Linked DNA regions of Elephas maximus indicus. The protein of the gene in region 1 interacts with the protein of each later gene in a pairwise test. Links are inferred from orthologs where the notes say so. Each region holds a gene or a part of one and is shown in the gene's direction. Other genes may lie near its edges. The genes, in order: PAK5, INKA1, TUBGCP4 and UXT.

The links.
Region 2: the proteins of PAK5 (region 1) and INKA1 interact in binary tests that used the Homo sapiens proteins (3 or more experiments, as listed by UniProt). The two-hybrid records come from large-scale screens. The link is inferred for Elephas maximus indicus from reciprocal best matches to the Homo sapiens genes PAK5 and INKA1.
Region 3: the proteins of PAK5 (region 1) and TUBGCP4 interact in a two-hybrid assay, tested with the Homo sapiens proteins (2 studies listed by BioGRID and IntAct). The two-hybrid records come from large-scale screens. The link is inferred for Elephas maximus indicus from reciprocal best matches to the Homo sapiens genes PAK5 and TUBGCP4.
Region 4: the proteins of PAK5 (region 1) and UXT interact in binary tests that used the Homo sapiens proteins (3 or more experiments, as listed by UniProt). The two-hybrid records come from large-scale screens. The link is inferred for Elephas maximus indicus from reciprocal best matches to the Homo sapiens genes PAK5 and UXT.

Annotation. Positions count from the first base shown.
Region 1 is NC_064843.1:48,555,379-48,562,549, reverse strand, and holds the start of PAK5 (serine/threonine-protein kinase PAK 5), read left to right. Parts: upstream 1-4,160; 5' UTR 4,161-4,265; intron 4,266-7,171.
Region 2 is NC_064838.1:54,230,112-54,237,430, forward strand, and holds INKA1 (PAK4-inhibitor INKA1), read left to right. Parts: upstream 1-4,907; 5' UTR 4,908-4,993; coding exon 4,994-5,203; intron 5,204-5,956; coding exon 5,957-6,766; 3' UTR 6,767-6,808; downstream 6,809-7,319. Other genes in the region: CDHR4 (cadherin-related family member 4), read right to left, coding at 584-694, 1,063-1,154, 1,231-1,393, 1,516-1,700, 2,030-2,078; UBA7 (ubiquitin-like modifier-activating enzyme 7), read right to left, coding at 7,057-7,186. UniProt on the Homo sapiens protein: Inhibitor of the serine/threonine-protein kinase PAK4. Acts by binding PAK4 in a substrate-like manner, inhibiting the protein kinase activity.
Region 3 is NC_064828.1:12,618,269-12,626,195, reverse strand, and holds the start of TUBGCP4 (gamma-tubulin complex component 4), read left to right. Parts: upstream 1-4,912; 5' UTR 4,913-4,919; coding exon 4,920-4,997; intron 4,998-7,927. Other genes in the region: ZSCAN29 (zinc finger and SCAN domain-containing protein 29), read right to left, coding at 2-703, 2,533-2,737, 3,186-3,503. UniProt on the Homo sapiens protein: Component of the gamma-tubulin ring complex (gTuRC) which mediates microtubule nucleation.
Region 4 is NC_064846.1:123,951,584-123,959,294, forward strand, and holds the start of UXT (protein UXT), read left to right. Parts: upstream 1-4,711; 5' UTR 4,712-4,766; intron 4,767-4,792; exon of another isoform or gene 4,793-4,839; intron 4,840-4,945; 5' UTR 4,946-4,954; coding exon 4,955-5,052; intron 5,053-6,022; coding exon 6,023-6,104; intron 6,105-6,237; coding exon 6,238-6,305; intron 6,306-6,662; coding exon 6,663-6,770; intron 6,771-7,711. UniProt on the Homo sapiens protein: Involved in gene transcription regulation. Acts in concert with the corepressor URI1 to regulate androgen receptor AR-mediated transcription. Together with URI1, associates with chromatin to the NKX3-1 promoter region.

The DNA of each region.
Region 1 (7,171 bases):
GCAAGCAGAGAGTTGGTGACCTCATACCACCAAGAAAGCAGTGCTGGGAGCAGAGCGCGTCTTTTGGACCTGAACTTCCTGCACTCAGATGCTCCCAGACCAAGGGAAGACTGATGACAAGGACCTTCCTCCAGAGCCCACCAAGAGAGAAAGCCTACGTCTGGAGCCAGTGCCCTGAATTCAGATTTCTAGCCCTCTGGACTGTGAAAGAATAAACTTCTCTTTGTTAAAGCCGTCCATTTGCAGTATTTTTGTTATAGCAGCACTAGATGACCAAGACAGATGTATATCCTATAAGCTTTTTGTTTATGTTAGTTGAAATCTTCTTTTCCAACTCCTGTTCTTCTTCTAACCCAATAATCTAGCAAATGCCCAGTTCTTTTCTGGAATCCATGCTGGTTCCATTATTATTGTGACTGACCTTTGAAGGATGCCAGCTATTTGCTTCTGCTGCAAAAGACCTCTTTAAAGTGTTGAAAAGCAAAGATGTCACCTTGAAGACTCAGGTGCACCTGATCCAAGCCATGGTGTTTTCAATCACCTCATATGCATGCAAAAGTTGGACAAGGAATAAGGCAAATTGAGGAAGAATTGATGCCTTCGAATTGTAGTGTTGGCAAAGAATATTGAATATGCCATGAACCGCAAAAGGATTGAACAAATCTGTCTTGGAAGAAATACAACCAGAATGGTCCTTGGAAGCAAGGATGGTGAGACTATGTCTCACATACTTTGGACATGTTATCAGGAGAGATCAGTCCCTGGAGAAGGACGTCATGCTTGGTAGAGTAGAGGGCCAACGAAAAAGAGAAAAAGCCTCAAGATGGATTGACACAGTGGCTCCATCAACGGGCTTAAGCATAACAATGATTGTGAGGATGGCGCAGGACTGGGCAGTGTTTTGCTCAGTTGTACATAGGGTCGCTATGAATTGGAACTGACTAGATTGCACCTAACAGTACAACAACAAGCTATCTGCTGATTAACAGCATGGGGGAGAGTAAATAGTAGGGAGAGTAAGCTGAACCTTGATTCCAGTGTGTTGTCTTAAACATCTTCCTCAACTCATCTACTAAGTTTACTACCGCTGAGGTACATTTTTCCACAGGTTTTTTATAAGATTGGTTGAGGTCAGTTTTTCATGAAATATTGACCAATGGGTAGGTCTGTTTTATTGAAAAACATGTTCTTCTAGGTCAATCTAATATTTAATATCCCAAAGCTTTCAGATTTTAACTATAGATTTTGATAGCAGAGAAAAGACTTCTTGAATAGCAGAAAATGAATATATGCCTGCTCAATAGATTATAATTCTTCACATAAGAAAAAAGAATGTATATACCTAGACAACTAAATAATCAGATAAAATACTTCCAACTTCTGATTACAGGTTATTGCCCAACCTTTAAATCCCTGAGCTGGCTAGAAAAGCCATTACTTATTTAAAAATTTACACTTTTTGAAATTTTCTGGCAAATCAGTTGAGTTCCACTGCCTCAGCTTCAGGGAGCTGCCTCATCTGAAGTTCAAGCCCCTTCCAGGGGCAGCCCATACGCAATGATTCACAAGGCGATACAAAGACCAGACCATCTCAGCCCATCTTGGGGGAACTCTGAGGGCCACTCTCACTCCAGAACTCCCTGTGAGGTTGGCCAAGCCTGTCATCGGCCTGTGTCACAGCTTGACTTCTCCCTGTGCCCACTCTTGCTTCCACCATCTCTCAGCCATAGGTGTTGGGCCCAAGGGCACTCCTTAATCAACAGCCTGCATGCTAAACTCTGTCTCAGAGCCAGCATCATGCGGAAGCCAGCCTGCAAAAGTGAGGAAAGTAAGAAAGAACGCTCACTAATTTCTCGGGTTCACACAGCGAGTTGAAAAGACAGAATCACAAGTTAAGTTCCTAAATTTTCTGCCCTACTTAGATACTTTGCTGTATGACTTCTCTAAGTTCCACTTATTTATCAAGAAAAGACATTATATAAAAAGAAATCCCTTGGCACTTAATGCAATAAAGTATTTACAGAAATATTATTAGTATTAATTTATAATTTTTACCTGGCAAACTTTCAAAATGAATTTGAGGCAGCTAACAATAATCATAGTATTTATCTAGTAGAAATAACCACATGAACACAAGCGTTATATATAATAGGAGAGATATTTTAAATGATCAAAGCACTGTATTTCAAAGCATAATTTTAATTGATACCACCAAGCCAACAAATAAATAACTCTGTGAATATGTTTTCTTTTGCATCTGTGCTCACTCACATACAAAAAAATCAAAATAGAAAATATTTATGCAAATAATGGTGCAGGTGGCAGTGGGGGTGGTAGGTGGGTAGTTAGGGCTATGTGTGCAGCTTAGAGAATTAAAGAGATGGGTTTGGAGACTCCTATTCCTCTGATTGGTACACCATGAGTGTACGATATGCCATGATATATTTCCCCACCATACACAGGAGTACTGAGGAAGAAAAGTCATCAACCATTTAGCCCACAATTCCTGTTCTGATACAGAAGCTGCTGCATGAGGGTTTTAAGTGAACAGAAGACAAACAAGGGGAAATGATAACTATTCCACCACTAACGAGAAAACAGTCTATGGTTATTGAGTATAATAGAGTACTGATAGATACAAACCCTCATTTTGTAATCTGCTATCTATTCAGTTATGGGCTCCCATGATACCATATGCACTAGCTCATAAGTGTATTGTTGAGGCAGCTGAGGACAGAAGAGGGTATGACTTGTTTACTCTTAGTATTTGTTCTCCAAGGTTGAAAATTCATGCCTGGCTTCCTCATGTCTTTCTCTCACTGTCGTGTGGGCAGGGAATACTCTTGACGATGCTGGAGCCTTTGGGAGCTGGGAGGGGAATGGGTAACTGGAGGATTTAAGTAGAACCACAAGATACGTTAGAAGCTTTAGCCCAAGCATCACTCAAGAGAAAAGCCTGTCATCTCTTGGCACAAAAATTGCCCTCCTTTTATCAGAATCTGTCAGTTCTTTTTAGTCAGGTAAAAACCGAAAAAAAAAAAAAAAAAACCTACTGCCACTGAGTCAATTCTGACTCATTGCTACCTTATACGACAGAGTAGAACTGACCCATAGGATTTCCAAGGAGCAGCTGGTGGATTTGAACTGCCGACTTTTGGGGTAGCAGCTGTAGTCCTTAACCACTGCATCACCAGGGCTTCCCAGCCCTATCATTACATGTACAATAAATTGACACTTTGAAGCCCAGACTGGGGAACAAGCAAGGCACACTGGTTCACACTTAGTGGAGCAGTTCAGTGGTGGCTAACGAGCAAAGTTGGCAGCAAGAGGCCCAGACCTCATTTTCTAAACCAGATAGTAGCCAGTTAGGGCTGGGACATCAGAGCTCGGTATTAGAGGGCACAGCAACCCCAGGTGCTACTACATTTGTGGAGTTACCAAGTCATCTGTAGGTAGAAGGGGCCTATGTGGGGCCAGAGACCATTTCTGGGACAGCTGATTGAGGGACAGCCACTCACAAGCCACCCATGAGGAGTTGTCCGGGTCGTTTCTACCCAGTGTGGAGGATCAGCACCACTTGGAAGCTTCTTTGACATGTGGGATCTCAGGCCCCTCTCCAGAACCGAATCAGAATCTACATTTCACTCACAGGCACAGTAAAGTTTGAGAAGTGCCGGTCCAGGTGGTCCCCACTGCTAGCAGCTGATCAGCCTTTCGGCTCCGCCCTTCCTCCCCCCCTCCCCCTTGCTGGCTTTTTAAGCGAAGCTCAGCCCGGCCTTGTCCTGCACGCGCAACAGTTCGGCAAACCCGGAGGGTGTGGGGAGGGCGCGCACGAGCTGCCCCCGCGGAGAGGCCAGAGGGAAAAGCGTGACCGGCTAAGGGCTGCGTGCCCCGCACTCTGCTGTAGGGCGAGCCGACACTCCCCCGACCCACCCCTTCTCCACGGCCTGCGCCGCTCCAGCTCGCCTCCCCGGCTGTCACGAAAACCCGGAGTCGTGGCGCGTGCTCCTGCCACGTCCTCCTAGGGGCGAAGCCCGGCAGCCGGACATGCTCAGTAGCGGGAGGAGCTTTGGGTGGAGAGTAGAAAGCTGTGGCTCTACCTCCCACCCCCTCCCTCTGGCCCCCGCCCCCCTTGCCCCTGCTCAGCTTGTAGTAGTTCCCCAGCGTGCGCCCGGGGAGACCGGGAACATGGCGCTCGGAGCGATGTAGCGGCTGAGGAGAAGAAAGGGATGAGCCACCGCGCTTCGTTGACAGCCAGCCACCAGGTAGGCAGGCGCGCCTGGCGGGGTTGCCTGGGTGGACATCCGCACGGGGAGGGGCGCTTGTGGGGATGCGCGCGGCTGGGACCCGGGGCATCTTGCTTTGCCGGGAGAGGATGCGAAGAGGACATCAGTGACAGCGCGCGATTGTGCATCTCCTAGGAGATGCCCAAGGCTGGGGACCGGCTGCTTAGAAGGAAGGGATCCAAGGACTATCCCCCCACCCCCCATGCGCTACCATTCAGCTTGGGATCCCTATGGGTCAAATAAAGGGTAGTTCCTTTCTGTTGGGCGAGAGGGCGTGGGGAAGAAACCTAGATAGCAGCCCGGGGAGCGCGCTGGTACCCCGGACCTCTAGCAAGCCCAGCACCGGTTCTTTTGTGTATACAGCCGCGCACGCCCGGGGGTGCCACGATGCCTGTTTCTCCCGAGTAGTGTTGGACATATTGCCAGGGCAGGATTCCGGTATGATTTTTGTCTCTTGGCAGGTGTGGACTGGAAGAACCAATAGCTGAGCCTTTATAGGGCTGTGTTTTCCTTTGTTACTTGCCTCGGTATGTGTGTGTGCGCGTGGTGGGTTGTAATGGAGAGAACCAACTTCTGCTTGTGGGCACGGGTGTGGGCAGAGTGTGGAAGAGGATCTCGGTTCCAAACTCTTGTCAAAATTGTGAGCGGTTTTGGCTTCCTGGAGGGTAAACTTGAAAAGTCCAGGGACCATCAGTGCCCAGTTTGGGTTTGGAGGACAAGCCTGATCACCTCTCTTGAAACGTGTTTAGCTGGAGCTTTAAACATAGGACATGAGTTAATGCCTCAACATTACATATCAGTAAAGGACATTGAAAGTATTGGTGCTATCTTTTTTTTTTTTTTTTTTATGATGGACGTTTCAAGGCCAGGGCAATAAAGAGAAAGAGAAGTTGGCATAAAGCCAGAGAGAAGTGTCATTGTTAATAGTTGATGACAGCTTGCAAGACTGAATACAGTTTGGGGGGGTGGGGAATCAGGAAACCTGGCATTCAGCTAAGATGCTACCAGGAAATAGTCGTAGGGTCCTAGGGAACTTAGAGAACCTCTCTGCACCTTCTTTTCTCTTCTCTGTTTTGGTGGCATGAGGGTACACCCTCTTTCCTGAGTCTAGAAGGACAAGATGCTCTTTAAAGGCTCCTTCTAAATTAGAATTCTATGAAACCAGTCCCTAACTACAACCTTACATTTGCATATCCCATTCAGGGAATTGACATGATCCTGTAAGTTCTCTCCTACATTTGTATGTATTCAACATTTTAATTTTTTTCTTTATGATATAAAGGATGGACATCTGTGAATATGAAGTTTAGAGACACTTCTACACTGACACTATTCATTTTTCTGGTCTCCTTAGGTGGCAAAAATGAGCCAGTATCATCAAAATAAAATGGGAAATGCTTGAGAAAAATGCATTTAAGTAAATCCTTGACTTGGAATACGTATGTACCAAGCAGAAGCATTGCTAATGGAAGCAATAGAAGTTGATGGCAAGTTCATTGATACCATTGGTCTTAGAATAAAATTTTTGTGTTCCTCTGTGAATGGATAGAGATTGATTGATTGATTGCAACTCATTACTTTGGTGATGAGTGTGAATTTTCATTGCACGCATTGAAAACACCAACACTACTGGTACTAGAAATGGGTGTTCTAGGATATGGTATCATCTCGATGAGACAAAGCTGAGTTTGAACTCTAGCTCCTCCACACTTATCTCTGTGATCTTGGGTAAGCTATTTAGCTTTCGCAAGCCTCAGTTCCCTCATCTGTAAAACAAACCTGGAAGTAGGAAGAGTAATACCTAAATAGGTAAGTGTGAAGATTACTTATAGTATTAACCGCCAGGGAAATAGTGATGACCATTATAAGGGGAAGGGAAATGGATGTTTATTGAACCTATACTATGTGCCCCATATTATGTTAAACCCGAAAAACCCAAACCCATTGCTGTCGAGTTGATTCCAACTCATAGTGACCCTATGGGGCAGAGTAGAACTGCCGACCTTTTGGTTAGCAGCCAAACGCTGACCCGTTGTGACACCAGGGCTCCCATATTATGCTAGTCAGGTTCAAACATGTGATTGCATTTAATCTTCCCAAAATCCCTATGAACCATTTTAATGACAATGTTAATATTATGTCAGCCTAAAAGAAGAAGGTAAAGTAAAGTAGATAAGGTCAAAAAAGACCTTAAAAATAATTTAATACAACTAACCTGTTTGAGGGTTTATGTACCCTTCCGTGGTGAAGGGAAGAACAGAGCTTAGAGGTACCTCACTTACACAGATTCACTTATCTGGAAACCCAGACAATCCAGGATTCAGATCTTATCTATAATGTACTGTCCCAAACTGATTTCTTGATATGGTTTTCCTCCCTTTTGCTACCCCACCAACACAATGCAAAACAAATGAGCAAAAATCCAAAGAAAACAACCAAAATGACAACAGCAACAAAAATATCCCAAACTTAACACCTTTCTAGTTTTTCTTATCCTTGTAAATGGCACTATCGTCCATGGAGTTGCTTCAGCCAGAAGCCCGAGGATCATCTTTGACACCTCCATTCCCTTTATTTCACATCCAAAACCATCACACGGTCTTATAAATTTTGTTTTCTAAATATATCTCAATGGAGCCTCCATTCCATCTCTACCACCAACACCATCAAACTCCAAGTCATCATCTCTCACTTGGGCTACTAATATAACTTCCTAAGAAGACCTCCTGGTTTCTTGATCCTTCTAGTTTCTCATCCACAAAAGGCAGTATCATGTGAATTCCCTGCATACAACACATCCATACAGCTGGGACGGATTACAGAGACTCCTGAAGTCTTGGGTACGGGGCCAGCCTCATCTTCAACATGTCTTCCTCCCAATGCCA
Region 2 (7,319 bases), on another chromosome or scaffold:
ACCAGAAGGGAACCATGATATGTGTTCTTCTATAGTCTATGCCCACTTCCCCTCTCAAGGAGCCCCAACACTCACCCTCCCCATGACCAGTCACTCTGCTGACAGGTATACCTTTGAGCCCCATTCCTTTGGACCATAAGTTCTTCTGTTAGGATACAGATAGCCCAAGAATGATATCTGAGTCATTCACAATGTGAATTATCATCTTAGAGTTGCTAAGAGCCAATCATCAAGAGGTGAAAATTTTAAGGAAGGGATTTCTCTAACCTCCTCCAGACTACACTGGCCACTTTACCCAGAACTTTCCCTTTAGGTGATTGCCCTCAACAATTTCCTTTCTATTACAGCAACTATGAGCTTTAAGAGCCAGGGACCCTTCTTCTCTCTGGATTCCAGATACCAGCACAGAACCAGGCCAAGATGGGGACAGCCAGCATGCAGCAGCAGGTTCAGGGTATGGGCTAGGTCTGGAAGCAGCAGCATAATCGAGAATGCCAAGAACAAAGAAATCTCCAGGGGGTAGAGTCTCTACCCATTGCATCCCCAGTCCATGGATACCCCCCAGGTCCCAGGTCATGCTCACCTTTTGAGACTGGCCTTTGAGGCCCTGGGCTGGCACCTGCAGCCAACCCTGCTGATTGATGGAGAAAGATCCAGGGAAGTATGAAGGGTCCTGGGCACTGGTGATGCTCATCTGACAGGACAGAGATGCTGGAAGCTCCATCTGCTTCCTCGTGCTCCAAGCACCCCTGTCAACATCCTCCAACAACCTGACAGGCACCCACCCCACCCAACTCTCCCATGCTCCAGCCCTTGGCCCTCACACCAGGCTGGGCTCCCCTCCCTCCACCTGACCCTTGGTCCTTATCCACAATCCTCTCTGCTTTTAAACCAATTATTTTGTTTTTAAACTGCATTTCTTTTTTTGATTATAAAAGTGATACTGAATTGTCATGGAAAACTCAGAACACACAGGAGAACTTGAAAGAACCCCTGAGATGACCCTGTGGCTTGGTCTCCCATCTCCCTGTAACTTCTCTCTGCCCCGTGTGTTGGGCTCACCTGGGCTCCTTTGAGTTCCAGGCCTGGGAGCAGCAAAGTGTACAGCCGGGCCCCCGGTGTGACCGTCTCTGGCACCTCAATGATTTCCCCAGCTGAGCAGAAGGGAGGTTAGGGAGGCTCTGCTCAGGTCATGCCTGCCCACCCCCTGCCAGCTGCCCCCAGCCTCACCTGGGCTGGCAAATCGGCCGGCACACTGGACATGACTGGGATCCCGCTGCACATCCAAAAAGAGTGGCCCCTCAGTCACATGGATGCCACACTTGAATCGCAGCTGCAGTCTGTAGTGGTTTACTGCTAGAGCATCAAGCCGAACCGAGCTGCTGAAAGTCACCTATGGCATGTGGGCAGGCCACGTGGGGTCTAGGCTCTCTGTTTCCCTATACCACCTTCAACTTTGGGAATTTCAGGTCCACCCTGTGTCCCCATGGTCCCCAGCTGTGCCCAAAGCCATACCGTGCCCACATAGTAGGAGCCTTGCCTCCTGAGGCTGGGTGGGTTGAAGAAGGTGGTGGGTGGCTGCACATAGAGCAGCTCCAAGGTGGGTGCGGAGGAGGTGCAGTTGAAGGGGAAAGGCTCAAGAACTGTGCCAGGGCCCAGGCTCTCAGAGATATTCATGAACCAGGGCTGGCTGTGGAGGTCTGCAAGGGGCAGGTGATTCAGGCCGGAGGCCCGCCTATGCTCACAGAACCACAGATGTGAGCATAGCCCTGCCTGTCTACTGCAGTCTTGGGGCCAAGCAGCCAAAGCCCTTCTCTGTCCCCCCCATCTAAATGTGGGTCAGCTCATTTCACAGACTTGGTTGAGGAAGCAACCAAGATGAGAAATGAGGGTCAGAGGCTCTTACCCCTGCCCTTTCCTGGCTCTTCCCCAGTCCCTGTCCTCCACAGTAGCTTATCTAAGAAAGGCCAGAACTCCACTGTGGAGTTGGAGGTGAGAACTGGGGCTCCCCTACCCACCAGCTCCTCACCAAAGACACCCAGAGCAAGAAGGAGCACGAGGGGCCTGAGTAGCTCCATGGTGGCCAGAAGATACAGTCAGCACTCCAGAAAGCTTGATGTGTTTGACAGGCTTACCTGGTTGCCAGGTCAGTTGCTCAGACACAGCTGGGCAGGCAGGACTCCTGGACCAACCAGATTCTAGCCCCGCCCATCCCTGGTGACTGAGCTGTAGATCCCAGGTAGGCATAGACAATCCCATTTCCCACTGTCCCCAACCCATTCATTACCACAACCCTAACGGAACACGAAAGGAGGAGGATAAAGATTCAGATGGGGAAACTGAGGCTTGGGGAAATCCTGATCGCTCAGTCCTTGGAGACAGAGCAAGCACAGTGCCCAGGAAAATTGGGCCCAGGGTATGTTACCCCACACACAGCACATGAACTCTAGCTGTCTCCTCTCTACCCTCATGAGAACATGATCTGCCCATGACACCTGAGTTCCAACCATCAGCAAAATCTCTCAAAAGTTGTCTACATTCAACAAGGAAAAGGAATCATTGGGATAGAATAGAAATCAAATTAGTAGTTACCTCTGGAATTATCAGCTAGGAGGGGTACGAGGTGGCCTTCTGGAGGTGTGGGGATGTTCTATATCTTCACCTGGGTGTCCAGTGCACAGGGGTCTACAGATTTCAACATTTATTGAGCTGTACCTCTGAAAACTAAAAAAGCAAACCCACTGCCATCGAGTTGATCCCAATTCACAGTGACCCTATAGGATAGAGTAGAACTGCCCCATAGGGTTTTCAAGACCTTAAATCTTTATGGAAGACTGCCACATCTTTTTCCCACTGAGCAGCAGGTGTGTTCGAACCACCAACCTTCTGGTTAGCAGCCAAGTGGTTAACCACTGTGCCACGAGGGCTCCTTGTACCTTTGAGATTTTTCTGTTTATCGTATTTATGTTACATGTCAATTTTGTAAAAGTGGCTACACTTGTACTCTCCAGTTCCTCACCTCTCACTCTCTGTACCCACTGTAGTCAGGTTCGTCCCTCCTTCCACAAAACTTCCCTGGTCAGGGTCCTCAGTGACCTGCACACTGCTGAATCCAGTGGCTTCTACTCACTTCCTTGGGATTGGTGATTCCTCAGGATTGTTTGATGTTTGCTCCCATTGGCTTCCAAATCCCACACTCTTTCTGGTATCCTCCCACCTCCCTGGCCACTCCTGCCCAGCTCCTTTGCTGGTTCTGCTTCATATCCTCAACCTCCTAATGGTGGAATGTTCCAGAACTCAGTCCTACCTGCTGCCCTCCTCTGTCTACACTTATCTCTTCCCATCTCATACAGGCCCATGGCCTTAAATAACATCCACTTACTTTGTCTCCCAGATCCAAGCATCCAGTACTGGCCTCTCTCCCAAACTCCGGAGTCACACAGCCCAAGATCAACCCTGCATTCCCTCTTGGATGTCTAATGGGCATCTCAAATCCACAAATGATCATTTAATTTTCCTCTCCAAACTCACTCTTCCTCAGTATTTCCCAGATCAGTTCATGCAAACTCCATTCAACTAGTCATTTAGGCCAGAAATCTAGGAGTCATGCTTGATGCCTTTCTTTTCCTATCCACATCCATGCATTAGCAAGGCTTGGTTTTAGGTCCAAAATATACCCCAAACTGACACCTTCTGTGAACCTGCTCCTCGCAGATCCAGGCCAATCCCCTCCCTTGCCTGCATGAGGGCAGGAGCTTCCACTCTGATTACACAGTTGGTTCTCCTACAGCAGCCAGAATTCTTTAAAAAGGAGACACGCCAGGTAATTCCCTGCTCAAAGTATCCCAGTGCTCCCCAGCACACCCAAAACAAAACATGCATTTCTCTCTAAGGTTGCAGGGAGTCTGGTTTTCTTAACCTCTTCACCACCACCCCCACCCCCACCCCCACCCCCACCCCCACCCCCCCACCAGCAGAGATCTGTGTTCTGCCCTGTCCAGCTCCATTCCTGCCTCAGGGTCTTTACACCGGCTGGTCCCTCCACCTAGAATGCCCCTCCTCAGGTCTGCCCCATGATGGCTCACCCAGATCTCATCCTGAGTACCAACTCCTCCAAGAACCCCCTTCCCAAGCTAGCCCATGGCCCTCATTCCGGACATTTTCTTGTCTGCTGGTGTCTACTCTGTCTCCAGTTAGACTGTACCCTTGAGCCTAGCCTCTGATCACAGAGCACCCTCAAGGGGACCGACTCTGGCCATCCCGTCAGATGAGTGGCACTCTTTCTTCCCGCTCTCCCACTGCCCCCCCGCACTGATCCTCAGTATGCATGTGGTGCTTTGCAGAGGGGCTGTCGCACAGAGTATGCGGTGGACCCGAATAGCGGCGGGACTCGCGGCTAATCGCGCGCCCCCCACCAGGGGGCGACCCTGCCTAACTCGGAGCGGCAGGGAGGGCTGGGCTGGTTCCTGGCTGAGGACCTCCCCCTGCGCTGACGCAAGGTTCCGCGTCCCCCGAATTCGGCCCGGTCGCCTTCCCATCACTTCCAGCGATTGTCGAGGTCCAGCGAAGCGGGTCCAGCCGGTCTGGCCCCCAGAAGGCCACAGCATGGCCGGGCCGGACGACTCGGGATGCTCACTGCCCCGCCGGGCGGGCACGTGGACGCCGCGGGGGGACCCGCGCTCACGGGGCCTACGTAGGAGGGACCGCCGTCCTATCCTGGGTCCCACAGGGAAGCAGAAGCCGCCGCGGGGAAGCGACTTGCCCTGTGTCATGCGACGAACCCCGGGTTAGCTCAACCAATCAGGGCGTCGGGGGAGGGGTTCCGGGTCGGACCCCACCCAGCTTCCAGCCACAGCCCCGCCTCCCCAGGCCAGGGCAGAGGAGGGAGAGGAGGCCTCCGGGCCGCCCCGCTTGCCGGCCCGAGGGGCGGGGTCATTTCAGTCCCGCCCCGCCCCCATTGGCTAAGGCTCCGGGGGCGGGGTGCTGCTGCCAGATGTTGGGGCGGCGGCGGCGGGAGCTACGGAGAGCGAGGAGCTGCGGCTCGAGGCGGAGGGCGAGGGCCCCGCTGGCCCGCCCGCCAGGCCCTCTCTGCGCCGCTCGTGCAGCGGTTCGAGGAGAAGGGGGCAGGCCTGACAGAGACTCCGGCACGGGTATGCACAGCGCTCGACTTGACAGCTTCCTGGGCCAGCTCCGCTGGGAACTGGTGAGGCTTGGGCGCGGGTGTGGTTCGTGGGGACGAGTGGGGGATGCTCTGCTGCCGCCTGTCCCGAAAGTGGACGGGTGGGGGTTGTCCCGAGTGCCCATCCGAGGAGGGATGGGGGCGGGGCGGCGCAAATGGCCCAGATGGCCCGCGTCGGGTTTCGGACAGTTGGGAGCTGTGCTGGGCATCAGGTAACAAGCCACCCAGCTGGCCGTGCTGCCAGGACGGCGGGGGGTAGTGGTGGTGGGGGAGAAACCTTTTTTGGGGCCAGGCAGGACAAACCAAGGGACTGAAGAGGCGCTAGTGTTGTGGACTCCCCCTACCCCGGGCTGGCCTGTCCCTCTTTCCTCCACTCCTTACCTGGAAAACACTGTAACCTCCTCTGAAAGAAGCTGTGGCCTTGGGAGAGTTGAATCCCCCAAGAGCTGTGGGATGCCTCCCCCAGCACTGGGCAGGCCCTACTTCGCTGTGCAGGCCCACACCCCTGCCGGCCCGCCTTAGTGGCGGGTACTGACTTGCCTGGCCCTGCGTGCTGCAGCCTGCTGGACTGCCACCAGGTGGGCAGATGGGAGCCACACTGGCTTCGTGTGCCAGCACCCCAACACTGGCCCTGTGCCCCCCAGCAGCCTTGCCACCCAGGCCAGCAGATCTCTCCAGCTCTCCTTGGCTCTCTGTTCTCAGGGCTCGCTGGGCCAGGCAGGTAGGCAGGGCTAATAAGTGCTGCTGCTCCGACTTGTGCTCTCTCTTCCTCTGCAGCTGTGTGGCCGGGACACAGGCTCACCCCAGATGCCTGGCTCCCTGAAGCCATCCCCCAAACCTGGCCAAGGTGTGCAGCCCAGCCACCGGCTCAGGGCCTCAGATGCCTCAGAAGAGGATTCGGCCTGCTGTGTGGAAGAGGAGGATGAGGAAGAAGTCATGATGACAGGGGACAGGGGTGCAGCCTTGAGGGGCCCCAGGGAGCACACCCTGGACTGGGACTCTGGCTTCTCAGAGGTGTCAGGGAGCACATGGCAAGAGGAAGAGCTGCCCGTATTACAGCGCCCAACACCCCCAGCACGGCCCCCGGACAGCCAGCGCCTCTCAGCCAATGGCCTCCCCCTGCCTAGCAGGGCCTCTTTGGCCAGTGCACCACCTGCCCACAGACCACGGCCCAAGTCCACCCCTGATGCCTGCCTGGAGCATTGGCAGGGACTGGACGCGGAGGACTGGACAGCAGCCCTGCTGAGCAGGGGTCGCAGTCGCCAGCCACTGGTGCTGGGGGACAACTGCTTCGCTGACCTGGTGCACAACTGGATGGAACTGCCCGAGACAGCGAGTGAGGGGGGCAGTGGGGGCGGGGGTGGGCCCCGTGCCCGCACTCGGCCCCCGCAATTCTTGCTTGGCCTCTCCGAGCAGCTGCGGCGCCGGCTGGCTGGGGCACGGAGGGCAGCTATGGCGGGAAAGCGGCTGTCGTGCCCACCTCGCCCGGAGCCTGAGCTGCCTGCTGACGTCTCACGCTTTGCTGCCCTCATGAGCTGCCGCAGCCGTCAGCCCATCATCTGCAATGATGTCATCAGCTACCTCTGACCCTGCCCCCAACCTGGGGACAATAAAGGCCTTTCTCTGGACTGTCCTGGCTCCATACCCCTGAGGCTCCAGGAAGTAGCTTCAGCCCCAAGAGGCACAACTGAGTCGAGAGAACCTAAAGAACTTTTCCCGTCCAGGTTGGGGTCCCTGTCATGCCCATGTCATGCTCCATGTGTCCCATCATCCATCCTCTGCACTTAGGTCTTCAGTAAGCATTTATTGAAGGCCTGCTGTGGGCTCAGGATGCAGGTGTGGGTTTGGTAGAGCCAGGTGTCAGGGCTGCTGCCTTATCACAGCTCATAGTGCAGAGGCGGGAAAGCAGTGTCCTCCTCCTCACCCTCACAGCTCAGCTCCAGTACCAGGACCTGCTGCCCAGGCTCAGGCACCTGCCCTGTCACCCGCTGCACCAGCTCTGTCACCCTGGCGGGGGAGGCAGGGGTTGAGGGAAGTGTGTAAGTGAACAATGGCAGCCAGAGAGCAAGTGACCTGGCATGGAGTGGAGGGTGCTGGTGGGCCATCAGGAGCCCAAGCCAGGAGCCAGAGCAGCTCAAGA
Region 3 (7,927 bases), on another chromosome or scaffold:
CCACTTGGGCTGCAGAACAGGACTGGTGCAGATGAGCTGTCGGAGTCCTGGGGGGTAGCCTCTGGGCCCATCTCATCACTGTCAGATCCCTCAGCCATGGCCTCTTCTGCTCCCCCATCAGGCTGCCAGCCCTCTTGCCCTGGCTTCTCAGTCTCAGCATCACTGCCCACCAGACCAGAGTGAGAGGCTGCCTCTTCCAGGCAATTACTGGGCAGCGCGATGACCTGCGCGCTCATCAGGGCTTCCATCTCTTCAAAGAAGGGGCAGGTCTCAGGTGGATGGCCACTTTTGACTTTCCGATAGCTCTTCTGGAGACCTTTGAACTTGGTTCGACACTGTTCCAAGGTCCGGAGGAAGCCATACTCTCGGAGCCGCTTAGCCACTGCCCCATACACTTGGCTATTTCTATGACAATTTCGGAGAGCCTCATAAAACTCCGTCTGACTGAGAATTGCAAGGAGAGTTCTGGTCTCTTCATAGCCCCAGTGCACACCCACTACCTTCTCATCCTCAAAGCCCCAGTGATCCTGTTCTACCCAGGTTCTTCTCTCTCTCCTGGATGGTAACAGATCGGCAGGCATTCGTCTGTCTCCAGTGTGACTGCCTCCTGGGAGTTCCCTCTCCTTGGAGCCCAGCAGATCTGGGATCCATGGCTCTCCTTGCTCCGGCCTGGAGACCACACCAGATTTAGGAAATGGAAATCCTGCTTGCAGGGAAGCAAACAAAGGATATCATAGTTTGGACTGATCATATAAAAATCTCTGAGTTTAGTCCTGCCTTTTTTATCCAAGGTTATTAGGAAAGCGTCTGGGGAAATGTTTTCAGGAAGTTCAATGGGTTGAGGAAAGTGGAGCAAATACTGGAAACTTCAAAAAATGAGAATTTTCCAGAGCAGGGTGACAAGAGAACAAGGTTCTGTTGTGTGTTCAGAGCAGATAATTCTATTCCAAGTTGCTCCCTAACTGTCCTCACCACTTCTTGGCAGGAACTGCTGCACACAGTTATGTCCTGTCTCCTATAGTTCTTCACCGGGGGCTAGAGAAGCAAACTCAGTGATTTTAATGTGAGGAGGGAGTTTGTCTTCAACTCATCCATTTCCATATTCAATCGGTCACTAAGTTCTAAAGGTGCTTCCTCCCTACTGCCACCATACAAGCCCGGACTCCTCATCGGCTCAAACCTGGGTAACTGCAGCATTCACTGCCCTTATCTACCCAACCCAGGCCCTTGCCTTCTCAGTCCACAGGCTATACTGCTGCCACCACATCACTTCTCTGTTCAAAGCCTTCAACCACTCTCTAAATCCACCTCGTCCGATCCGTACTCCACTCCAGTTTTCAGCATTAGAATTAGCCCTGCCCTGCCTGTTGGCCTTCTTGTCTACCATGCATTCTCCACTCCTATTAGACTCTTCTCTCCAGAACACAGCTAACTTTTTATTTACCATTTTGTGCTTTCTCTTTAACTCTCTTCCTATCAAAATTTAACTCATCCTTCAAGAAGCTGTATTTGCCAGTGTCTCAGAGACTCTCATCTCTCACCTGGCCAAAGCCCTACAGCACTCAAGCACTGAGCAACAAGTCACTGTTTGGTCCTGTTCCAGTACAGCTCAGCACATATTTATAGTTGGGTTCTCAGTCACACTGTAAGCTCAAGAACCTGCAAGGGGCTGAGCATGCTGTCGGTGTTTAAAAACCAACTGATTTAATTCTGCCAGTCTGTGGTGGGGTTCAGGGATTTGAGCTGGATGACTAATAAAGGCCATTACCAAACTGGCTTAGAAGGCTAACGTCTTGGATGATAAGATCAGAATTCAAAATAACCTGAACAAGTTACAGAAATGATCAAAGAAAAAAAATACAAAATGGACTTCAACAGAGTTCAAAGAAGAAAAACAAGTTCTACAAAATCAATTACAAGCAGCAGCAACTAGGCACAAAACCAATAGGGAAGGCTATAAGAATCCTGGGAGTTAACAGGTGAACAAAAATTATCAAGTAATTATCAATTGGATTATACTGAAAGAAAATGCAGCAAACTTGTGAAGGAAAAGCTCCCGTTCTGCCTTATCCTCACTGGAGTAATACACAGAACTTAGTTCTCCACAATTAACATTTAGGTTAAAGGAAGTTAATGACAACTTAGGTCTGAGAATGGAGCTTCCGGGGAAAAGCTTAAAAAATAAACACAGCTTCATTTGGAGACGGAAATGACTAAAAGGAGGATGTGCCTTTAAGTACAGAAAAGAATTTTTAACTAGAAAATAATGACCTACTATTATCATTACCAAGAGGAAATAAAATAGTTCCAAGTTCTGATAAAAACTAGGAAGTTACCCTCTCATGCACTTATCAAAAGTACAAATACAAAAAACACTTACTGTAGGCTGAGAGCTTAACTACATGCCTTCAGGAGGTCCCCAACAATTGCATATCTATTTAGTCCTGAAATCCCTTTCCCGCTCACTACTCCCAACCCTATTTCTCCCAGCTCAGAATGGCACCTATCTACCCGCATGAATCTACTCCTCACCGCTCCTTTGAAAAGGTCTGAGCTTCTCCTTTGGGTTCATCTGCTCCTGTGGTCCCAGGTCTGGGCTTCTTGCCCTCTCTTTCTTGGGTACACCCCTGGGCTGGGGTTCCACTGACTCCTGCCGAACACTTAATAACTCCTGTGATGATTTCAGGGGTGTCATCTTCTCCGAGCGCACTTCCTGCCCCTTCACAGAGACTGTGACCTAGAAACAACCCCCATTAATTGTCACTGCAAGGTCATAATGGGGGGCATTCCCAGAGGAGATTAATACCCCAAAAGATCATCCTTCTGGGACATGGCTAGAGTTGTAGGGATTGGGGGTTATAACAAACAAGTAATTCCATTACTGTTAGCTTAGAGCAGCTGGAACTCCAGAATGAAAAGACCAATATAGTTAACCCAACTACAAGTTAAAAAAAAATTCCTGATTAATGAGCTACAAATAATTCATTATGGCAGGGTAGGCAAAGATACACCCAGGTAGCATCTCCAGACAAACTCTATATGAAAAAGTTACCTGTTCCAGGGTCAGAAGTATAAGCATCGTTGAAGGAGACTGTGCCCCTCTTTAAACCTATCTATACCTTAACCTGGCTGTTACCCTTACCCTTTTGCGATCACACATTTCTGAACTCCCCCTCCTTTCTCACCGAACGTCCAGGTCTTCCAAGCTGTCTTTCTAAATCTTCCACCAGAGCCACTGCCTCCTCTCCACTGTCTGGACAATGTTCCTGTACCCAGTTCTGGATCTCCCCAGGTAAGACCGCCAGGAACTGCTCTAGCACCAACAACTCTACAATCTGCTCCTTGGTGCGTGCTTCCGGCCTTAGCCACCGACAGCAAAGTTCCCAGAGTTGGCTGAAAGCCTGCCGGGGCCCTGCCACCTCCTGGTAATGGAATCTCCTGAAGCGTTGTCGGAAGGTCTCAGAGTTAGTGCCATCCCCTCTCAGAGTGGGTCTGGCCATCATTCACAGCAGAAAGCAGCTTCCCTCTACTTAAGGGTCTGGGCTCCAGGGCTTACACCTATCTTCCCATTCCTTGGAGAATCACCTGCAGTCTCTCTGTAAGAGGAGTTTCTTCCTAGGGTAGAGAGAGATGGCACTATCAGAAGGAATATATTCATACGTCTAAAATCCTGCCAGGGCTGGCCTGACTTCCCATATGCTCCAGCTGGCCATCTGAGGTAGCACCATCTTCAGGGCAGCAAGCCAAGGCTGTGAGCTGAAGGAGAGAGACCTTTCAAAAGCTGCGTTTCTGGGCGACCTCCAGGGCAGCCCGGGGAAGCACCAGAGAACGGAGTACTGTGTCTGCTCCTCTCCCACCTCCCCCAAATCCGACCCCATTTAGCTCCCTTGACCAGTACTACATAGTGAGTTCGAACCATATGGGAGACCTGGAGTTCGAGAGGATCTACAGACAAGTCACCGTCCTGCCGAGAGCAGCGGGTCGCAGCTGTGTCCCCCGTACCTCGGCAGTCCTTCCCGGGGCCCTCTCCGTCCGCCCCGCCCCCTCCGGCTCCACGACTACCAACTCCCACCCCACACAAAAATCAATTACTAAATGTCGAGTCTTTGTTTCTCCCCCTCCGCAGAGGAACCGTTCGGCGAGGACTCGAGAGCCACTGAAGGGAAACCGAGCGCATCGGGAGAAGGCAGCTCCGACTCCTGAAGCGAGGGCCGGGTGGGCTTGGGGAGAGTCACACTGAGTTGGTAGAGAGGGAGTCCAGGGAACGGTCGGGATGGGTCTCCTGAGGACGAGCCAGGGTGCCGGCCAGAGGCTCCGAGGGCTGCGGGGCTTGCCGGCGCGGAACTCGGCTCCAGGAGCGGCGGGTACGGGGTTCCGGCCTCTTTGTCTTCGCTCCCTCCGGCCGGGTCACTCTCGGAGCCCCGTGCGCTGCCTAACACGGGCCTCCGGCCGGGCTACGGCGCCCTGAGAACACTCTCCGACACAGCCCTGGGAGCGTCTCCCTCAGCCCCCTCGCACTCCTGCCCCCGGGCCAGCTTCACCCACTCAGCTCCGGCTCCAGCCCCAGATCGCCAGCCTCCCAGGCCAGCTCCCAAACCGGAAGTGCGAGCGGGCACCTCAGGGCAGAAGGGGCGCATGCGCACCGGCCGCTACTACGCCTCCATCTCCCTCCCAGCCCGGCGGGAGCGAGCGGGTGGGACACGGCGGGTCCGCGCACTTCCGGGACTCGGCGCCGACCCCTTCCGCTCTTCCCGTCCGCTGTTCCCGCAGCAGTGGTTTCGGCGGGGTAGATTCCGGACGAACTGCCCGTCCCAGCGGCCTGTGCACGCGTCGAGGCGGGAGAACTCGCCTCCGTGGTCCCCTGGAGGGGCGCTGGAGGACAGGGTGACGTGGCTAGGGAGTGGAGGTCCGCCGTGGGAATGATCCACGAGCTGCTCTTGGCTCTGAGCGGGTACCCGGGGTCCATCTTCACCTGGAACAAGCAGACCGGCCTCCAGGTACTGCGCGCGGGAACGGCGGAGCGACCGCGGGACTAGAGCCGGAGCCAGGGGGTGGGGTCTGAGGGAGCCGAGGGGGCAGGGCGTGCAGGGCCCGCGGTGTTGTAGGGGGTGTGTCCTAGGACAGACAACCGGAGCTTGGTGCCCGAGGGGCCTGAGGGAGGAACACCCTGAGAGAGCTGGGCCGAGGCAGGGAAACTGACAGCAGACCCGGAACGTCCCCGCCTTGGGGGGGACGGAGCTGCTCCATAGGGTTTTCAAGGCTGTGACCTTTTTGAAGCAGGTTGCCAGGCCTGTCTTCGGATGCTTCTGAGTTGTTCGAGCCAAGGAGCTGGGCGGCTCCGATGTAGAAGCTAAAGAGGCTCCGTCTCTCATTTTCACATTTGCACTGTGTTTCAAACTGAATTTTGAAGACTCACAGCGCTTGACTCAATAAGTGCCGAGCAAATTTTGTTGAATGAAGAAATGAACGAGAGGGTGGAGAACTTAGAAGCGGGCCTTCAAGGTACCGGGGCTGTAGGAGGAGGAAGTGCTGAGGAGTAGACGTTGTTTGGAGGCATTATCTCGTTTGGAGCCCTGGTGGTTAACAGCTTGGCCGCGAAGCAAAAGGTTGGTAGTACCAGTCCACCATCCACTCCTTGCAAACCCTGTGGGGCAGTTCTGCTCTGTCCTATAGGGTCACTATGAGTCAACAGCAATGGTTTATTTGTTTAATCTCTTTTAACCTTTGCAGTCACTTTATCTCCATTTAACAGATTAATTTAGACTCAGAATGCTAAGTAACTCCTGGGGTTACATAGATAATAGTTGTTTTTGTTCGTTGCTGAGTTGATTCCTACTCATGGTGATTCCATGTGTGCAGAGTATAGCTGCTCTATAGGATTTTCAAGGCTGTGACCTTTCAGAATCAGGTAGCCAGGCCTGTCTTCCAAGGGTGCCTCTGGGTGGGCTTGAACCGCCGTCTTGGCTAATAGTTGAGCGATAAACTATTTGTGCCACACAGGGGTTCCTAGTTAATAATTTTTCTCCTGTGCTGTCAAGTCAGTTCCAACTCATAGTGACCCTGTGTGACAGAGTAGAACTGCCCCATAGGGTTTGCTAGGCTGTAATCTTTACAGGAGCAGATCACCAGGTGGGCTGGAACTGCTGCTGACCTTTGGGTTTGCAGCAAGCTCCTAATCATTGTGCCACCAGGGCTCTTTAGCTAATAATTAAAACCACACCCACTGCCATCGAGTCAATTCTGACTCCGTAAAGATGCCCCACGGGGTTTTCAACACTGTATGGTAATCTTTTCTACCATGCTTTTGTCAGTTTGTCATACTGTGCTAGCTTGCATGTTGCTGTGATGCTGGAAGCTATGCCACCGGTATTTCAGATAGCAGCGGGGTTACCCATGGTGGACAGGTTTCAGCGGAGCTTCCAGACTAAGAATAGACTACGAAGAAGGACCTGGTGGTCTACTTCTGAAAAAATTGTCCAGTGAAAACCTTATGAATAACAGAACATTGTCTGATAATAGTGCTGGAAGATGAGCCCCTCAAGTTGGAAGGTACTCAAAATACTACTGGGGAAGACTGCATCCTTAAAGTAGAGTTGACCTCAATGACGTGGGTTGAGTCAAGCTTTCAGGACCTTCGTTTGCTGATGTGACATGACTCAAAATGAAAAGAAAAAGCCGCAAACATCCATTAATAATAGGAACATGGAATGTATGAAGTATGAATCTAGGAAAATTGAAAGTTTAAAAAATGAGATGGAATGCATGAAGATCAATATCCTAGGCATTAGTAAGCTGAAATGGACAGGGTGTTAGTCGTCTTGAATCAGACAGTTATATGGTCTACTATGCCACGAATGACAAATTGAAGAGGAATGGCGTTGCATTCATCATCAGAAAGAACGTTTCAAGATCTATCCTGAAGTACAGCGCTGTCAGTGATAGGAAAATTCCATACACCTACAAGGAAGACCAGTTAATACGACTGTTATTCAAATTTACACACCAACCACTAATGCTAAAGATGGAGAAATTGAAGATTTTTACCAACTTCTGCAGACTGAAATTGATCAAACATGCAATCAAGATGCATTCATAATTACTGGTGATTGGAATGTGGAAGTTGGAAACAAAGAAGGATTGGTAGTTGGAAAATATGGCCTTGGTGAGACGCCAGAGATCGCATGATAGAATTTTGCAAGACCAACAACTTCTTCGTTGCAAATACCTTTTTTCAACAACATAAACGGCAGCTATGCACTGTGAACCCCACCAGATGGAAAACACAGGAATCAAATTGACCACATCTGTGGAAAAAGACAATGGAAAAGCTCAATACCATCAGAACAAGGCCGGGCCAACTGCGTTCAGAACAAGGCCAGCCAACTGCAGAACAGACCACTAATTGCTCGTACATAAGTTCAAGTTGAAGCTGAGGAAAATTAAAACAAGACCATGAGAACCAACGTATGACCTCAAGTATATCCCACCCGAATTTAGAAACCATCTCAAGAATCGATTTGATGCATTGAACACTGATGGCTGAACACCAGACAAGTTATGGGATGAAGAAAGTAAAAGGTCATGAAAAAGATGGGAAAGAAAACACCCAAATGGATGTCAAAAGAGACACTGAAATTTGCTTTTAAATGTAGAGCAGCTGAAGCAAATTGGAAGAAATGATGAAGTAAAAGAGCTGAAAAGATTTCAAAGGGCAGCTCAAGAAGACAAAGTAAAATATTATAATGAAATGGGTAAAGACCTGGAGTTAGAAAACCAAAAGGGAAGAACACGCTTGGCATTTCTTAAGCAGCAAAAACTGATAAAAAAAAATTCAAGCCTTGAGTTGAAATTTTGAAGGATTCAACGGGGGAAACATTGAATGATGCAGAAAACATCAAAAGAAGATGGAAAGAATAGACAGTCCCTG
Region 4 (7,711 bases), on another chromosome or scaffold:
ACACTGATAGTGTTCTCCCTGTTGTATATAGTAAATTTAACACCTTCTTTTCATAAGACCGAAACCAAACTCATTGCCAATGAGTCAATACAACCCATAGCGATCCTCTAGGACAGAGGAGAGCTACACCATATGGTTTCCAAGGAGCAGCTGGTGGATTCGAACTACTGACCTTTTGGTTAGCAGCCAAGCTGTTAACCACACCACCACCAGGGCTCCTTTCTTAAGACGGTGGTGTAATATTTGTCTAACTACCTAGTGTGTTTCAATCACATGAAACGTAATTATGAGAGTTACGAAAGTTTTTTTAATCTCAATATTTCCTATACAACACCCTTGTTCAATGAGCAAAGAAAAACTAGATTTGGTCAGGTTTTCGGCATTTGAAAAATGAACCTTGCTTTTACATACACAACATACAGATTTTCTGGAAAGTCTTTCCGATAGGGGTTGGAGCTCAAGCCCCTGCATACGAGAATGGCGTTTGGGGGATTCCGGCCTGGACTTGGCTGGGTTAGATGCCTCTGTTTAAAAATCTTACAAGGGAAATAAGTTCAGTCCCTCACTTGAAAGCATGAAAAATACATTAATAAAAAGCTTACATATTTAAATAAAACACACGGGAAATTATTTCTAACCACAAGATAGCAAATCTTGGACAGAGGACTCCAGCGACCCTCCATTTTATCCCCCTATTAAATGAGGAAACCCCGGTGGTGTAGTGGTTACGTGCTATGGCTGCTAACCAACAGGTCGGGAGTTTGAATCCACCAGGCGCTCCTTGGAAACTCTATGGGGCAGTTCTACTCTGTCCTATAAGGTCGCTATGAGTCAGAATCGACTTGACGGCAAAGGGTATTAAATGAAGTGATTAGATACAACGCTTTGTCAATCTCCGCTTTAACCCCACAGTTATAGATTGCAGATCGCAGAGCTGGAGTCATAAAAGATGAATTTTAGATTTGTCTCTGTTTAAAAATCTTTCAGTGTTCACACTCATTCCCATCACCGGGAGTTAAACTCAAATTTCGCAGGTGAAAAATCAGAATCTAGGTAGACAGATCAAACAGGATAGACCCTCTTTTCGACATGTTACCCGATTAGGGTCCGTGCCCTGGAGCAGTCCAGCCAATAAAACACACCAAGTCACAAAAGACAAAGTTTTCTCAGGAGATGCATACATCACCGGGGACTGGCAGCAACACAGGCTATCTCTATGGAGTTCCAAAGAGCAATTTTACATTAGAGCTTCTATAGAATTTTACAAGGGTTAGAAATGTCTTCGTAGTTACCTGAAGTACAACGCTGTCAGTGATAGGAAAATATCCATACACCTACAAGGAAACCAGTTAATACGACTATTATTCAAATTCATGCACCAATTACTAGGGCCAAAGATGAAGAAATAGATTTTTATCAGCTGCTGCAGTCTGAAATTGATCGAACATGCAATCAAGATGCATTGATAATTACTGGCAATTGGAATGCGAAAGTTGGAAACAAAGAAGAAGAATCAGTAGTTGGAAAATATGGCCTTGGTGATAGAAACAATGCCGGAGATCGTATGATAGAATTTTGCAAGACCAACGACTTCTTCATTGCAAATACCTTCTTTCACCAACATAAACGGCAACTATACACATGGACTTCGCCAGATGGAACACACATAAATCAAATTGACTACATCTGTGGAAAGAGACGATGGAAAAGCTTGATATCATCAGTCAGAACAAGGCCAAGGGCCGACTGTGGGACAGACCATCAATTGCTCATATGCAAGTTCAAGCCGAAACTGAAGAAAATCAGAGCAAGTCCACGAGAGCCAAAATATGACCTTGAGTACATCCCACCTGAACTTAGAGACCATCTGAAGAACAGATTTGACACATTGAACACTAGTGACCGAAGACCAGCTAAGTTGTGGAAGGACATCATACATGAAGAAAGCAAGAGGCCATTGAAAAGGCAGGAAAGAAAGGAAAGACCAAGGTGGATGTCAGAGGAGACTCTGAAACTTGCTCTCAAACGTCGAGCAGCTAAAGCAAAAGGAAGAATTGATGGAGTAAAAGAACTAAACAGAAAATTTCAAAGGGTGTCTCGAGAAGACAAAGTATTATAATGACATGTGCAAAGAGCTGGAGATGGAAAACCAAAAGGGAAGAACACAATCAGCGTTTCTCAAGCTGAAAGAACTGAAAAAAAATTCAAGCCTCGAGTTGCAATAGTGAAGGATTCTACGGGGACAATATTAAACAATGCAGGAAGCATCAAAAGAAGATGGAAAGAATACACAGAGTCATTATACCAAAAAGAATTAGTTGATGCTCAACCATTTCAAGAGTTGACATATGATCAGGAACTGATGGTACTGAAGGAAGAAGTCCAAGCTGCTCTGAAGGCATTGGCGAAAAACAAGGCTCCAGGAATTCATGGAATATCAACTGAGATGTTTCAACAAACAGATGCAGCGCTGGAGGTGCTCACTCGTCTATGCCAAGAAATATGGAAGACAGTTTCCTGGCCAACTGACTGGAAGAGATCCATATTTATGACTATTCCCAAGAAAGGTGATCCAACCGAATGTGGAAATTATAGAACAATATCATTAATATCACACACAAGCAAAATTTTGTTGAAGTTCATTCAAAACTGGCTCCAGCAGTATATCCACAGGGAACTGCCAGAAATTCAGGCCGGTTTCAGGAGAGGACGTGGAACCAGGGATATTACTGCTGATCTCAGATCCTGGCTGAAAGCAGAGACTATCAGAAGGATGTTTACCTGTGTTTTATTGACTATGCAAAAGCATTCGACTGTGTGGATCACAACAAATTATGGATAACATTGCAAAGAATGGGAATTCCAGAACACTTAATTGTGCTCATGAGGAACCTTTACATAGATCAAGGGGCAGTTTTTCGGACAGAACAAGGGGATACTGATTGGTTTAAAGTCAGGAAAGGTGTGCGTCAGGGTTGTATTCTTTCACCATACCTATTCAATCTGTATGCTGAACAAATAATACGAGAAGCTGGACTATATCAAGAAGAACAGGGCATCAGGATTGGAGGAAGACTCATTAAAAACCTGCATTATGCAGATGACACAACCTTGCTTGCTGAAAGTGAAAAGGACTTGAAGCACTTACTAATGAAGATCAAAGACCACAGCCTTCAGTATGGATTGCACTTCAACATAAAGAAAACAAAAATCCTCACGACTGGACCAATGAGCAACATCATGATAAACGGAGAAAAGACTGAAGTTGTCAAGGATTTCATTTTACTTGGATCCACAATCAACAGCCATGGAAGCAGCAGTCAAGAAATCAAAAGATGCATTGCATTGGGTAAATCTACTGCAAAGGACCTCTTTAAAGTGTTGAAGAGTAAACATGTCACCCTGAAGACTAAGGTGAGCCTGACCCAAGCCATGGTATTTTTGATCGCATCATATGCATGTGAAAGCTGGTCAATGAATAAGGAAGACCGAAGAAGAGCTGACGCTTTTAAATTGTGGTGCTGGCAAAGAATATTGAATATACCATGGACTGCCAAAAAAATGAACAAATCTGTCTTGGAAGAAGTACAACCAGAATGTTCCTTACAAGCAAGGATGGCGAGACTGCATCTTACATATTTTGGGCATGTTGTCAGGAGGGATCAGTCCCTGGAGAAGGACATCATGCTTGGCAGAGTACAGGGTCAGCGGAAAAGAGGAAGGCCCTCAACGAGGTGGACTGACACAGTGGCTGCAACAATGAGCTCAAGCATAACAACGATTGTTGAGGATGGCTCAGGACTGGGCAGTGTTTTGTTCTGTTGTGCATAGGGTCGCTATAAGTCAGAACCTACTCGATGGCACCTAACAACAACAACATAGAATTTTAGAAGGGTTAGAAATGTTTTTGTGGTTACTTAGCTGGAGGTATGCTCAAGAGGGGTCATTCATTACAGGATAGTGACAAAAGATACCTGCCAGACATCTCTTCATTAGGCTAAAGATACAGATATATACCTGGGCTCCAATTTTCCTGTGGGGGTTGTATGCCACAGGTTGTCGGACATTACAAAATGTTATTTGCCTCAGTTTAAAACAAAGTTATTAACATTTGGTCAAAACAAAGCCATTAGCAGAGGTATGTGAAGGAGAGGACAGGCAGAGGAAGGAGAAAAACTTACAGGTTCATCATGGCGTTAGTTATGTCGAGCTCTCAGTTGCCCATTTTGAATTAGGAAAAAAACATGCTGGGGAGTATACGGGGTCACAGGCAGCCAGAACCAAAATTAATTCTTGCCCATCTGCTTCTGTGGCCCTTTTAAACACCAAATGCTTCACTCCACTTCTCTAACTCTGCCTATGCTTCCTGTATCCCCTTAAACCCTTTAAAAAACCTTTTGCCGTGGAGTCAATTCTGACTTAAAGCGACCCTATTAGTCCTACATCCTGCATCCAGGACCCACCAAATCCCATTAGGCTCCATCCCCACCAGCCACGCGTGCATAGGCTTCACGCAGCTTTCGCAGCCCCATCGGTTTATTGCCATACAGTCCCTGCTTCCACGCTCTACGGTCTTCCAGGTCTCCTCAGAGTCCGTAAAGCCCAACCCTTCTCTTCACGCCTTTGACCGATCTTTTTCCGCCAGGACCGCGCCTCCCCACCTGGCTATTTGATTGGCCGCCTGCTTGCCACTACGTCATTTAACCGCGCCACCCGGAAGCCGCAGTTTATACCAACTCTCCGTTCTGGTTCCCGGCGGCTCTGAGGTAAGGGGCGCGTTTGAGTGTCTCTCTGTGGCAGGGATCCCAGAGTTGGGAGGCGCGGAAGGCGCAACTCCCGGTATGAATCAGACGAGCCCATTCCCAACGTTGGGAAGGTGAAGATTTACTGCGCAAGAGGCCAAACTGGAGTGGTCAAAACGGCCTTCCCTCTCCCCACTCCTCAGGAGCTCATCATGGCGACGCCCCCTAAACGGCGGGCGCTAGAGGCCACGAGTGAGAAAGTGCTGCGCTATGAGGCCTTCATCAGTGACGTGCTTCAGCGGGACCTGCAGTGAGCGGGCGTGGGGGGGCGGGGGGTTGTAACCTTCCACGTGGTGGGCGGAACGTTTAGTGTCAGCACAGAGCTTTCTGATTGGCAGGTGGGGCGTTCTGGCCCGGCCCAGCGCCCCTTTCAAGCGGGAAGGAGGGGCGACATCCGGGGTGCAATTTGACTGGGACGGGGCGTTCAGCGCGCAGGGCGTGTCTGCGCGTGCTTGACTTCGACATCCCTTAATGGTTAAAAGCTAGGTTTCTGAGGCCGGAGTTCTTAGGTTCAAATCCCGGCTCGGCCACTTGTCATCTGTGTGAACATGTACTTCGTCGCCTTTTCTCTGCTTCATTTTTCTCATCTGTGAAATGGAGAAGTTGACAGAGCCCTCAAATCTGGTGGTTTTGTGTTTTCAATGTGTTCAAATACTTCTAAAGAATTTAGCGTGGATGTCTGAAACATACTAAAGGCTCAATGAATATGAAGAATTACTGTCACTGTTAATATAAGTGGGAAGTTCGGTGTTTACAACTAGGACTTTGAGCATCCTAAAAGGGATGGAGGATTTTTCTAGGGTGAGAATGAGAGATTCTGATTGGTCAGAGGCATTGACAGTCATTTATAATAATATTAATAATAGTATAAATAATACCTAACACATATATAGAGCTTACTATTCGGCAGATATTATTCTAAGCAGTTTATATAACATTTAATTCTAACGACTGCATGAGGTAATACTGTCATTATCCTTTATAGATGGGGAAACTGAGTCCCAGAGAGGCTCCTTACTTGCCAAGTTGACATAGCTAGTAAAGGAGAGAGCCTGGATTCAGACCCAAGTCGTCTGACTGCAGAGTCCAAAATCTTATCTTCTGCACTAAAAGGCTTGTTCAGGGCATGGGGCTATAAGGGTCTCACAGAGGCAAGATATGAGGTATCCCAAGAGGGACAGGGTCACCTGTTGGTCACCACTGGACTCTCACTCCATCAGAAAGGTGCTGGACCATCGCGACAAAGTATATGAGCAGCTGGCCACATATCTTCAACTAAGAAATGTCATTGAGCGACTCCAGGTAAAGATGCCAAGGTTGGATACCTTTTTTGTGGGCAAGGGAGGAAGACAAGAGGAGAAACCCCAGACCAAAACCTGTCTCTTGACTTAAAATGTGAGTACTGACCCCTTCCTCTTTCTCCCTGGCCCCACAGGAAACTAACCACTCGGAGTTATATATGCAGGTGGATTTGGGCTGTAACTTCTTCGTTGACACAGTGGTGTGAGTGTCTACCTGCCCCTCTGAGCCCACAGGATTCAGCATCCCCCTTCCTTCATTCAACAAATATTTTGAAGGCATCTGCTCTAACCAGACACAGCTAGGTGCTAGGGATGTGACAGTGAATAACATAGAACAAAATCCCTGCTCTCCTAGAGCCTCTATTTGGGGAAGATGGGGGAGGGGAATCAAAAAACATCTTGAATAAGTTATACGGTATACTACATGGTGGTAAGGACTTCCCCCTGCTTCCTCTAACTTCTTTGGGGGAGGGGAATCAAAAAACATCTTGAATAAGTTATACGGTATACTACATGGTGGCAAGGACTTCCCCCTGCTTCCTCTAACTTCTTTCTTCAGCCCAGATACTTCACGAATCTATGTGGCCCTTGGATACGGTTTTTTCCTGGAGCTGACATTGGCAGAAGCTCTCAAGTTTATTGATCGTAAGAGCTGTCTCCTCACAGAGTAAGTCCCTTCTATGAGGATCGTGTCTAAATCACCAGTACCCTTCTTCCTTCTCCCCATATCTGCCTGGGATGGTACTTAGGGACCCATCTCCCCTCCTTCTCAGGGCTGGGGCTGAGGAATGTGAGAACGGAAAGCTGAGCCCCAGGCACAGCACATAATAAGCAGTCTTTTTATCATTCATCAGACACTTATTGGGCATCTCCTATATGCCAGGGTCTGTGTTTGGTGATGGGGATGCAGCAGTGAACAAGAAAGAATGGTTCCTTGAAGGCTTACATTCTAAGGGATGAGACAGATATTAAGTATACTGTTATAAAAAAGAAATACATAAGTACAATTATGACCAGATCTGTGAGGTCTCGTTAGCCTGTAAATCAGTAACAGTAAAACAAGTTATCTCTGACTTTACCTCCTGCTAATTCCCCTGCACATTCACTGTGCTGTTGTTACACTGACCTTCACACTCTTCTTTAAACACCCCAAGAATGATCCCACCTCAGGGCAATTGTACTGGCTGTTCTCTCTGCCTGCAGTGCTCTTCCCCAGATAGCCATGTGGCTTTCTCCTCACTCAAATGTCTTGTTTATAGGCCACTTCCTCAACGAGGCTTTCTTTAACCTAACTTTAAAACTGTAACCCCTAGCACTCCTGATTCCCTTCCCTTAGTCTTTTTTCCCCCCAGCACTTATCACCTCCTAATATTTACTGTGTAATTTACTTCTTTGAATGTGCATTGTCTCTTCCTATGAATATATAAGTTTTACAAAGAGAGAAATTTTGTCTACCCAAGTGCCTAGAATAGTGCATAGGCACTCAGTGTTTGTTGAGTGAATTAAAAATGGTATGCGGAAGCAGAATGAAGTGGTAGTCTGTGTTAGTGGGGATGGTGAGGTGATATGAGGAGAAAGTGTGGGCTCCAGTTGAGTTTGTTTTGCGTG